Linked DNA regions of Tamandua tetradactyla. The protein of the gene in region 2 purifies or fractionates together with the protein of the main gene of each other region. This does not show direct contact. Links are inferred from orthologs where the notes say so. Each region holds a gene or a part of one and is shown on either strand. Other genes may lie near its edges.

Region 1 (3,908 bases), on a different chromosome or scaffold from region 2:
GCCGGTGTGTTTTCTATGTCTCTCTGGCAGGTGGGCCCAGACCTGAGCCTCAATAGCAGGCCCCCAGGTCTGGGGGTGTACATATTCACATTTCTACCTTCCCCTCCTCCATATCTGTGGCAGTGATGTAATGGTGGTGGTTTGTTTGCTGGTTTGCTTCCTTCCTTCCTTGTCTAATACACCTAACTTAGTGAAAAACTTATTGGATTTAAAGAAAAGTAGGAAAAGATATTTATTGCTGGAAGGTGAGACCTTGGATGAACAGAGTTTCAGAAATGCTGACTTTGTGAGTTAGACTTCTGCTACCACCCTAGATCGAGTTCAGCAGCTTGCTACCACTGGCTTAGGTAAACAGGGTCAGTAGAGGAGGACAGGGGACAGGTGGCCCTCACAGTATGCCCGCTACCGTAAGACCTGATCTGTGTTTCCAGGAAGTTGAGTCTATAGATGAGTCCTGAGAAGTGCAGAGCTGCTCTATTGCCCCTGACCCAGTAACTGTACTTCTGGGAACACACTTCAAGGAAATAATCCAAAGGGCAAGTAGATGATTTGTATCTGATTGTTTATAAAAGCAAAAGGGTGACAATAAACTGACAGCCCGACAAGCAAGGGAGGGCAATGGAAACCAGGATGTGGCACCTGGGGGGGAAATCCCCCTGCCCTGGCAGTGCCACATCAGACGGGTGCTCAGTTATGAGCAGGGGAGCAGCCCCCTAAGGTGATTTGAGTGAAGATGGGAAACCAGCTGGAGGAGGACCAAAGTCTCCAAGAACCCAAGGCTTGGGAGGCACGTGAGTTTTGGTGTGCCCTGCCAGCGACACATCAGCCTGCTTGCAACCCCCTGAGCCCATGGTGCTGTGGGCTGACTCAGGGCCTTGACACAGGCTCTCCTTCAGCCCGGAAACCTTTGACTAATGTGGATATCCTAGGTAGGGAGAGCTCCACCCTACTCTTTATATTCCCAAAGCCCTGGTCCCAAGGTGCTGACACACCAGGCAGCAGGGCAAAGGTGTAGTGCATGGACCCAGGGTTTAGGTCTCCAGGGTGGCCACTGCCAGCCGAGAGTCCAGCAGGCATGGCAGAGAACCTGGCCAAAGCCGAGCTCAGCAGGCAAGGTACTGCAAAGGCAGTGATCCTCCAACCTGCCCAGCAGAGAAAGCAGGGATTCTAATAATGTGAAGGGAGTCTTCCCAGCTCGAGGGGTAAAGCAAAGGCTCTCCAGCTGGCCCCAGTTCGGCAAAAGCTGCTAGCCTTGCCTGGGCCTTACTTGGTAGCCATCTGTTCCTTAGGCAGGGAAGATCCACCAGCAGGACGGCCAAGGTCCAGGACACCAGTGCTCAAGTGTTGGAGAGAGAGGGTTTAACACCCAGATCTTGGCCACAAGGCCCCCAAACATGCTCCCTAAATGATAAAGGCCACAGCCGGCCTGGATTCAAGTCTTGCTCCAACACTTTCTGGCTGGGCCTTTATTTCCCTGGGCCTCAGTCTCCTAGTCTGTAAAAACAGAGGCTGAATACTACTCACCTCACAAGGTAAGGATTTAAGTGAGCGCTTGCGTGTAAAGTGCTTAGAGAAGTGCAGGTACATGGTTGATACCATCAAGCGTTTCATTTAGTTCTTGCTTTCAATCACCACGCCTGGGTTCAGACATGGTCCCTTCCAGGAGCCCTTCCACCCGATTAGGGGTCCGCACCCCAGTCCAGGCTCCCCCTCGCACCACACACCTCCCGAGGGACCCTCACCTCGACCCAACCTCCCATTGTGCGCCCCCAAGGGCGCTGACCCTGGACCCCGCCCCCACCCAGGCCTGGCCCCTCCCGCCCACGGAGACACGCCCACAGGCTCTAGCCCCGCCTCTAATGGCCCCGCCCCCACCACGAGTGGCGCTTCAGCCCGGCCCGGCCCGCCAAATGCTGGGGCGGCCCCGCCCCCGGAGGCCCCGCCCCCAACGGATTGTCCCACCTCCTTCAGGTCTCGGTCCCGCCCCGGCGCACCCCGCGTCCCCAGACCTCTCGGGGCTGCCCGCTCCATACAGCCGTGCACCCCGGCCCGAAGCTGACGAAGCCTGGCCTTTCCCGGCCTTCCCCCCGGGTTCCAAGTCCCGGATCCCTGCCAGGGCCCAAAGGCCCGGAGCGCAGCCTCGCCGCGCCTGCCCACCGCCTCGCCCTCGCCCGGCTCTGCCCCAGCGGCCGCACCTTTGAATAGGTAGTCGTACTCATCGTCCCGGGTCCCCATTGTCCTGGCGCTTCCGGCGGGATCGGCGACTCCGCAGCCCCACCACAAACACCCGATGGGGGCGGAGCCGGCGCCGCGCTGAACTGGGGCTGGCTGGCCAAACAGCGGCGGGCGCCGTAGCGACCGACACCCGGAGCAGCCAATCAGAGGCGGAAGCAGAGCCTCCGGGGTGGGCACTGCCTGAGAGCCACCCTCCTCACCGTCCGTCTCCTGGAGAAAGGCGGAAGGAATGCGGATCTTTCTGAAGTGACGGCCGCGCCGGCCTATCAGAGCAGAACTCGGAAAGGCGGGGCGGAAGACTAGGGAAACGAAGGGGATTGATGAAATGAGCAGCCAATGAGAGGCTTGATTCAGACCCTACCCGACTACCCGAGGACCCGCCTGGGAAGGGAAAAGGGGCCACGTTCAGGAGAAGCTACGTTACAGATCGCAGCGTGCCGATGACATCATCGGCCTTTGCGGAGCGCTCGCTCCTCTTTGCTTAGATGGCGGTCTGGAGGGCGCTTGTCGCTTCTCGGTTGCATTTTCCATCCTTGTGTTGGTGACTCGCGTTACTTCTCACCCTGCGCCTCGGATTCCTCCCTCCACAAAACAGTGAAGACTTTCACCTTCTGGAAATCTTTTTGAGGATGAATAGATTTTCCTAAAAGCGTCCATAGTATATCAACCGTCGACTTTGTGTCCTTAAGTGTTTGTTATTTAGTATTTCTGAATCCTTAGTGGGTACCAGATATTCTGCAGCAAGGCCTTTCTTTCCTCTCTGTGTCCTTAACTTGTTTTATTTTGTTTCCGTAATATTTATTACCACCTGATGTGCAAGTATGCATTCCGTTTTTCTTTTTTTTCTAAATTTGATTTTAATATGGGCAGGCACTGGGAATGGAACCGGGTCTCCGGCATGGCAGACGAGAACTCTGCCTGCTGAGCCACCGTGGCCCTGTCTTCCTCCTTTGATCCATTTGCCTGTTTCGTTTATGTCCTCTGGCTCCGACTTTGAATGCCGTAAGGGTAGGGATTGTATCTGCGGTATCCTCAAGGCTCAGTGTTTGTTCAATGATGAAGAATCTAAGCCAGAATGTTAACAGATAAATTTAGTCCATGGATTCTTCTGCCCAAGGCGCTCAATAATCAATTCCTGAGACACCAGGGGTTTTAAGGAGAGAGTTCATTGTTGTGCACATAGTAGGAGAGCAGACAGCCTAACGGCCCCAAATCTCTCCCTGAACTGTGGTAATTTGGGTAGTTTTTTTTAGAGAAAAGGTGAGCAGGGTTTTGGACAATGGGCACTTTGGCCCCAGGTGATGTAATTAGGGGTGATCTGCTATTGAACATGTGCAGATTGAGTATGCATTTAGTCACACAGTGTTGGTAAGAAAATAGCGGCCTTAATATAATGACGGGCATGATTTTTAGTATTATCACGAGGGATAGGTGACTTACCCATTCAAATTTAAGCTACTGCGCATATCAGGAGGGCCCACTTTGTCTAGATCCAGTCTCAGTCATCAAGATAATTTGGGACTCGGGGGACTTCATTAACACACATTAGGGGCTATCTTTAGTGATTACAAGACTCTAAAGTTGAAAAACTGAATAATTAGGGACAGATGAAGAGTAGTCACAAGGTTTAGTCACAATCACAGGGGCAGAAGGGCTGTACAGCTATTGTCAGA
Region 2 (3,908 bases):
CTCAGTGTAATCAGCTCATATGATAGAGACAGCAGTAACCAACGAGGTTTAGGATTACATCAGAGAGAACGAGAAAAATGAAGATGCAGAGGCTGAACCTTTCTGAAAAATGGAGCTTAAAGAGGTTTTCCTCCCTCACAATGCAGTTATAGAGCCTTCTGAATCTACACAATGGCTCCATTAATACAGAACCATCTTGAGCTATCCGTTAAGCCCGTCAACAAGCTCCACTTATGAATAGGGAAATTTGGGTGTTTAGAGACCAAGCAGCCTGAAGCCCAACAATGAGTCAGGATCAAAGCAGGTACCGGACACAGGAATCTGGAATTCCCATCTCTGGCAGGGAGATGCAGTCTATCTTTCAAGGGCATAAAATACTCCATGGCAAACAGACGGCAGATTTGGAGGTTAATTTCTACATATCTACAGCACCCAGGTGAAGCGGGAATGAAAGCCAACCTAAGGCCCCAGTGTCATTTAATCAGGTGGAAAATGAGCACTGCTTCAGCCCTGGACACTGCTCCCCTTATAGCTGGTAAATTGATGACAAGAGATCCTCCAATCCGTCTGCACATCGAGGCTCTCTATTTTATCCGATTTGAGTCCAGAAAAGCATCGTTGGGTCAGTCAGGCAAATTGGGTATATTCTTTGCAAGCATGCATGCTGAAACTGGACTCACCCTCTGGACAAGGGAGCCTGCCAACTTCAAACCCTCCCAAGAGAAAGTTAAAATATCATGCATATCTAAAAGGCACAAGGTGACTCAGCGTGCTTCATAAATGGTAGGGTTTAGGGGGTAAGATACGACTGGCTTATATTCTAGAAGATCCAGCAAAGTACCGATGTAAACTAAACAAGGCTTACGTCTGGTATACCAGAGCATAGCTATCAATTGTTCCCTGGGGTTAAGCATTATCCTTTCCCAGCACCTGTGAAAGAGAACAAATTTGTCACCATGGGGTGAATTAGTTTTTGCCTCCTTCCGGGAGGAAAGGAGATACCCTGACCCTGAACCCTCGACTGGGGAAGTACAGATGAGCAGTCACACACACACCCCCGCACCCCCTCCCCACCCACCCAAGAGTGGCCCAGAGCGAGGGGCCTAGCAAACTCCAAAAGAAAGCCACGCCTACTTCCCAGCTGGCTTGGCTAAGACTGACCCTGGCTCTGGCCATCATCGGGAAATTATGGCTGATCTAGCGTCCAGGGCAAACTGCTAATATTTGCAACCACAAAAGAAAGCCCAAATTATTCTAACCTTCTTTTTGGAGAGCTGAATTCTCCTCACCAACTTTTTGGAGAATGGGGGTAATTGTCATAGGACGGCCTGCATTCCCCGCCCCCGCCCTCTCCCCCTCACCCCCCACTGTAATGCTCTCACTGGGTCCCTGGGTTAGCTTGGGGGGCCAGGAGGCGGCGGGTCTCACTCCGGTTAACCCTCGCTGCGCCCTGGCCCGTCCAATCTCAGCTCCAGGTGTCCGGTCCAGCGAGGGCATCTGCCACGTACATTAATGTATGTAGTAAACACACACACACTATCATTAATAAGAGAAACTCCCCTGCCCACAGACATTTTCAATTCATCAAAAACCCACCAAGTGCTTACTATGTGCCAGGCACGGAGTGGCGTTCCACGGGTTACAAAACGCCCCAGGTGCCGCCCCAGGTTTCCAAGAGCTCAAAGGCTGCGAGGGCTGGGGCGCAACAGCCGAGGACTCGAAGCTACTGAGAGCACTGTTATTTATCGAGGGGCCCGCCTCGAAGAGTCACCTCACCAGTCCCCCGGGAACGCAAAAGGCCGTGATCGCCACGCTAGCTCTAAACGGATCCCAGCGCCGAGGCCACACGTCCCCCCTCCCCCGCAAAGATCCGCCCCTTCCCCCGCCGGCCCCTTGCCTCCACTCAGCTCCCCTCCCTCGGCGCGCACTCACTGGGTCTTCCTGCGGCCCTGGTCGCGGTGCAGCTCCCGCAGGTCCACCTCCGCGCGGCCCAGGAACTTGTCGAGGCCGAGCAGCGCGCGGTGCAGCACGGTGAGCTGCAGGGTGGCGGCGGCCGCGGGCCCGGCGGACAGCAGCGGCGGCAGCTCGAAGGTGGCCTCCTCGCGCCACACGGGCGCGCCCAGGCTGCGCTCCGACACCGAGGTGGCGTACTTCTCCTTGCCTACCTGGATCACAGCGTACGCGTCGCTCGTGCCCCCCGGCCCCTTGGCCCGCAGGCCCCGCGCCTGCAGCACCGTCACCTGCACGTGGGTTGGGGACCACACGACCCCCGGGCCCCGGCCCGCAGAAGCCGCCAGGGACATGGTGACCGACCCGCCGCCCACCCCCGGACGAAGAGGAGATAACCCTGCCCCACAGCCTCTCCGGCGCGCCCGGGCGACCCTACGGGCCTCTTTAAAGCTTCCGGCCACGCCCCCGCCGGGGCCCGCCTTCCCCTGTCGGGACCCCGCCCCACCTGCCGGCGCTCCCGCCCCGCCTCCGGCGCGCACGCAGCTCAGTGCACCCGGAATGCCGGGGGGAGGGCGGGAGCCAGGAGAATGCGTGGGAAGGGGCTGAGCCTTCCAGAATTCCGGTCTGGGAGGCGGTGGGTGAGCGATGCGTTGCCGGGATGCCGAGGGTCGCACGGCCGAACAGGACCTTGCCAAAACCGTGACTTGGGAGTCCGACCTAATTTCTAATCCCCTCAGCGTCGTTTGGTAGGCTAGTGACCCGGTGCAGATCACTTAGCATTTTTAAGTCTCAGTACCTTCGTCTGTAAAATGAAATCACAATTATCTAAAAAAAAAAAAAAAAATGAATTAACGTTCTTAGCACAGTGCCTGGTAACCATGAAGATGAGAAGGAAGGCGAGGAAGTTGGGTGCAGAAATGGTGTCAGGTGGACGGGAAAGGAGGAAGATCCTTTGCAAATCTGAAAAGAGGAAGGTACGGGGGGGAGGGGGTGATGATGTCCGGGTGGGAGTGTCCCATTTTGCCCTACCCTTACCAAATAAGGCGAGGCCAAACTGGGGAAAGGAAAAAAAGAAGGAACTGAAAATGGGATTGCCAAAGTATAGGACCCCAGGGACTTCCCCAGGTTCCCCGTTTCTCCTGGAGGAGCCCTCTTTTGTCCCTCCCTCCTCTTTATCTCTGGGCACCCAGTAAGCCACTTCATTCTTCCAAATGTCCATTAGCATGGCAGCTTGCCTTCATTTCCAGTCCCAGTTTACAGGGTCAACTGTCCTTGTCAGTTTGTGAAGGTCACATCTAAAGAAAGGCCCAGAACAGAGAAGGGACTTGGTCAAGAGCCCACAGCAGATCCAGGACTGGAACCCAGGTCTCTGAACTCCTGGTCTGATGTTCTAATTGCACCCTTGGCTTCTTCCGGAACCCGATCTTGGACTACTGCTGGTTGCCCAGCTGGTGTCCAGGTGCGTGACCCTCTGATCCACACTGCACATCGCTCCTCTAGCCTTCTTTTCACCCTGCGGCAATGCTTCACACCGTTGGCGGACTGAACTGTGTACCGCAGTGTGAACATGTTCTTGGTTGTCATCCTGGTGGGTGTGAACCCATTGTAGATGGGATCTCCTGAAGTTTCCTTCAGTTCAGGTGTGGCCTCAACTCAATCAGGTTGGACTTTAACCCAGATTATTTGACACCTTTATAAACAGAGTGACATTCAGACAGAGAGACGTCATGGGAAGAAGCCAAAAGTCAAAGGAACCCAGAAGAGAAAGGAGAAAAACACCTTCCTGGGCATTGCCCTGTGACAGAAAATCCAAGGGCCAAGGTTCCCCAGCAGCCAGCCTCAGACCAGAACCCCACAGTCTTCACAGAGAAAGCATTGCCTTGCTGATGCCTGGATTCTGGATGTCTAGCCTCAAGACTGAGCCAGTAAATTCCCGTTGTTTCAGCCAATCCATTGTA

Evidence for each region.
Region 1: the proteins of RAB11FIP1 (region 2) and RAB11B purify together in Homo sapiens (affinity purification with mass spectrometry; 3 studies listed by BioGRID and IntAct, counting the BioPlex papers as one, with this or other methods). This does not show direct contact. The link is inferred for Tamandua tetradactyla from reciprocal best matches to the Homo sapiens genes RAB11FIP1 and RAB11B.

The regions. Positions count from the first base shown.
Region 1 is NC_135337.1:84,847,639-84,851,546, reverse strand, and holds the start of RAB11B (ras-related protein Rab-11B), read right to left. Parts: upstream 2,372-3,908; 5' UTR 2,236-2,371; coding exon 2,196-2,235; intron 1-2,195. UniProt on the Homo sapiens protein: The small GTPases Rab are key regulators of intracellular membrane trafficking, from the formation of transport vesicles to their fusion with membranes.
Region 2 is NC_135352.1:5,477,862-5,481,769, reverse strand, and holds the start of RAB11FIP1 (rab11 family-interacting protein 1), read right to left. Parts: upstream 2,382-3,908; 5' UTR 2,304-2,381; coding exon 1,933-2,303; intron 1,823-1,932; exon of another isoform or gene 1,597-1,822; intron 1,052-1,596; exon of another isoform or gene 1-1,051. UniProt on the Homo sapiens protein: A Rab11 effector protein involved in the endosomal recycling process. Also involved in controlling membrane trafficking along the phagocytic pathway and in phagocytosis. Interaction with RAB14 may function in the process of neurite formation.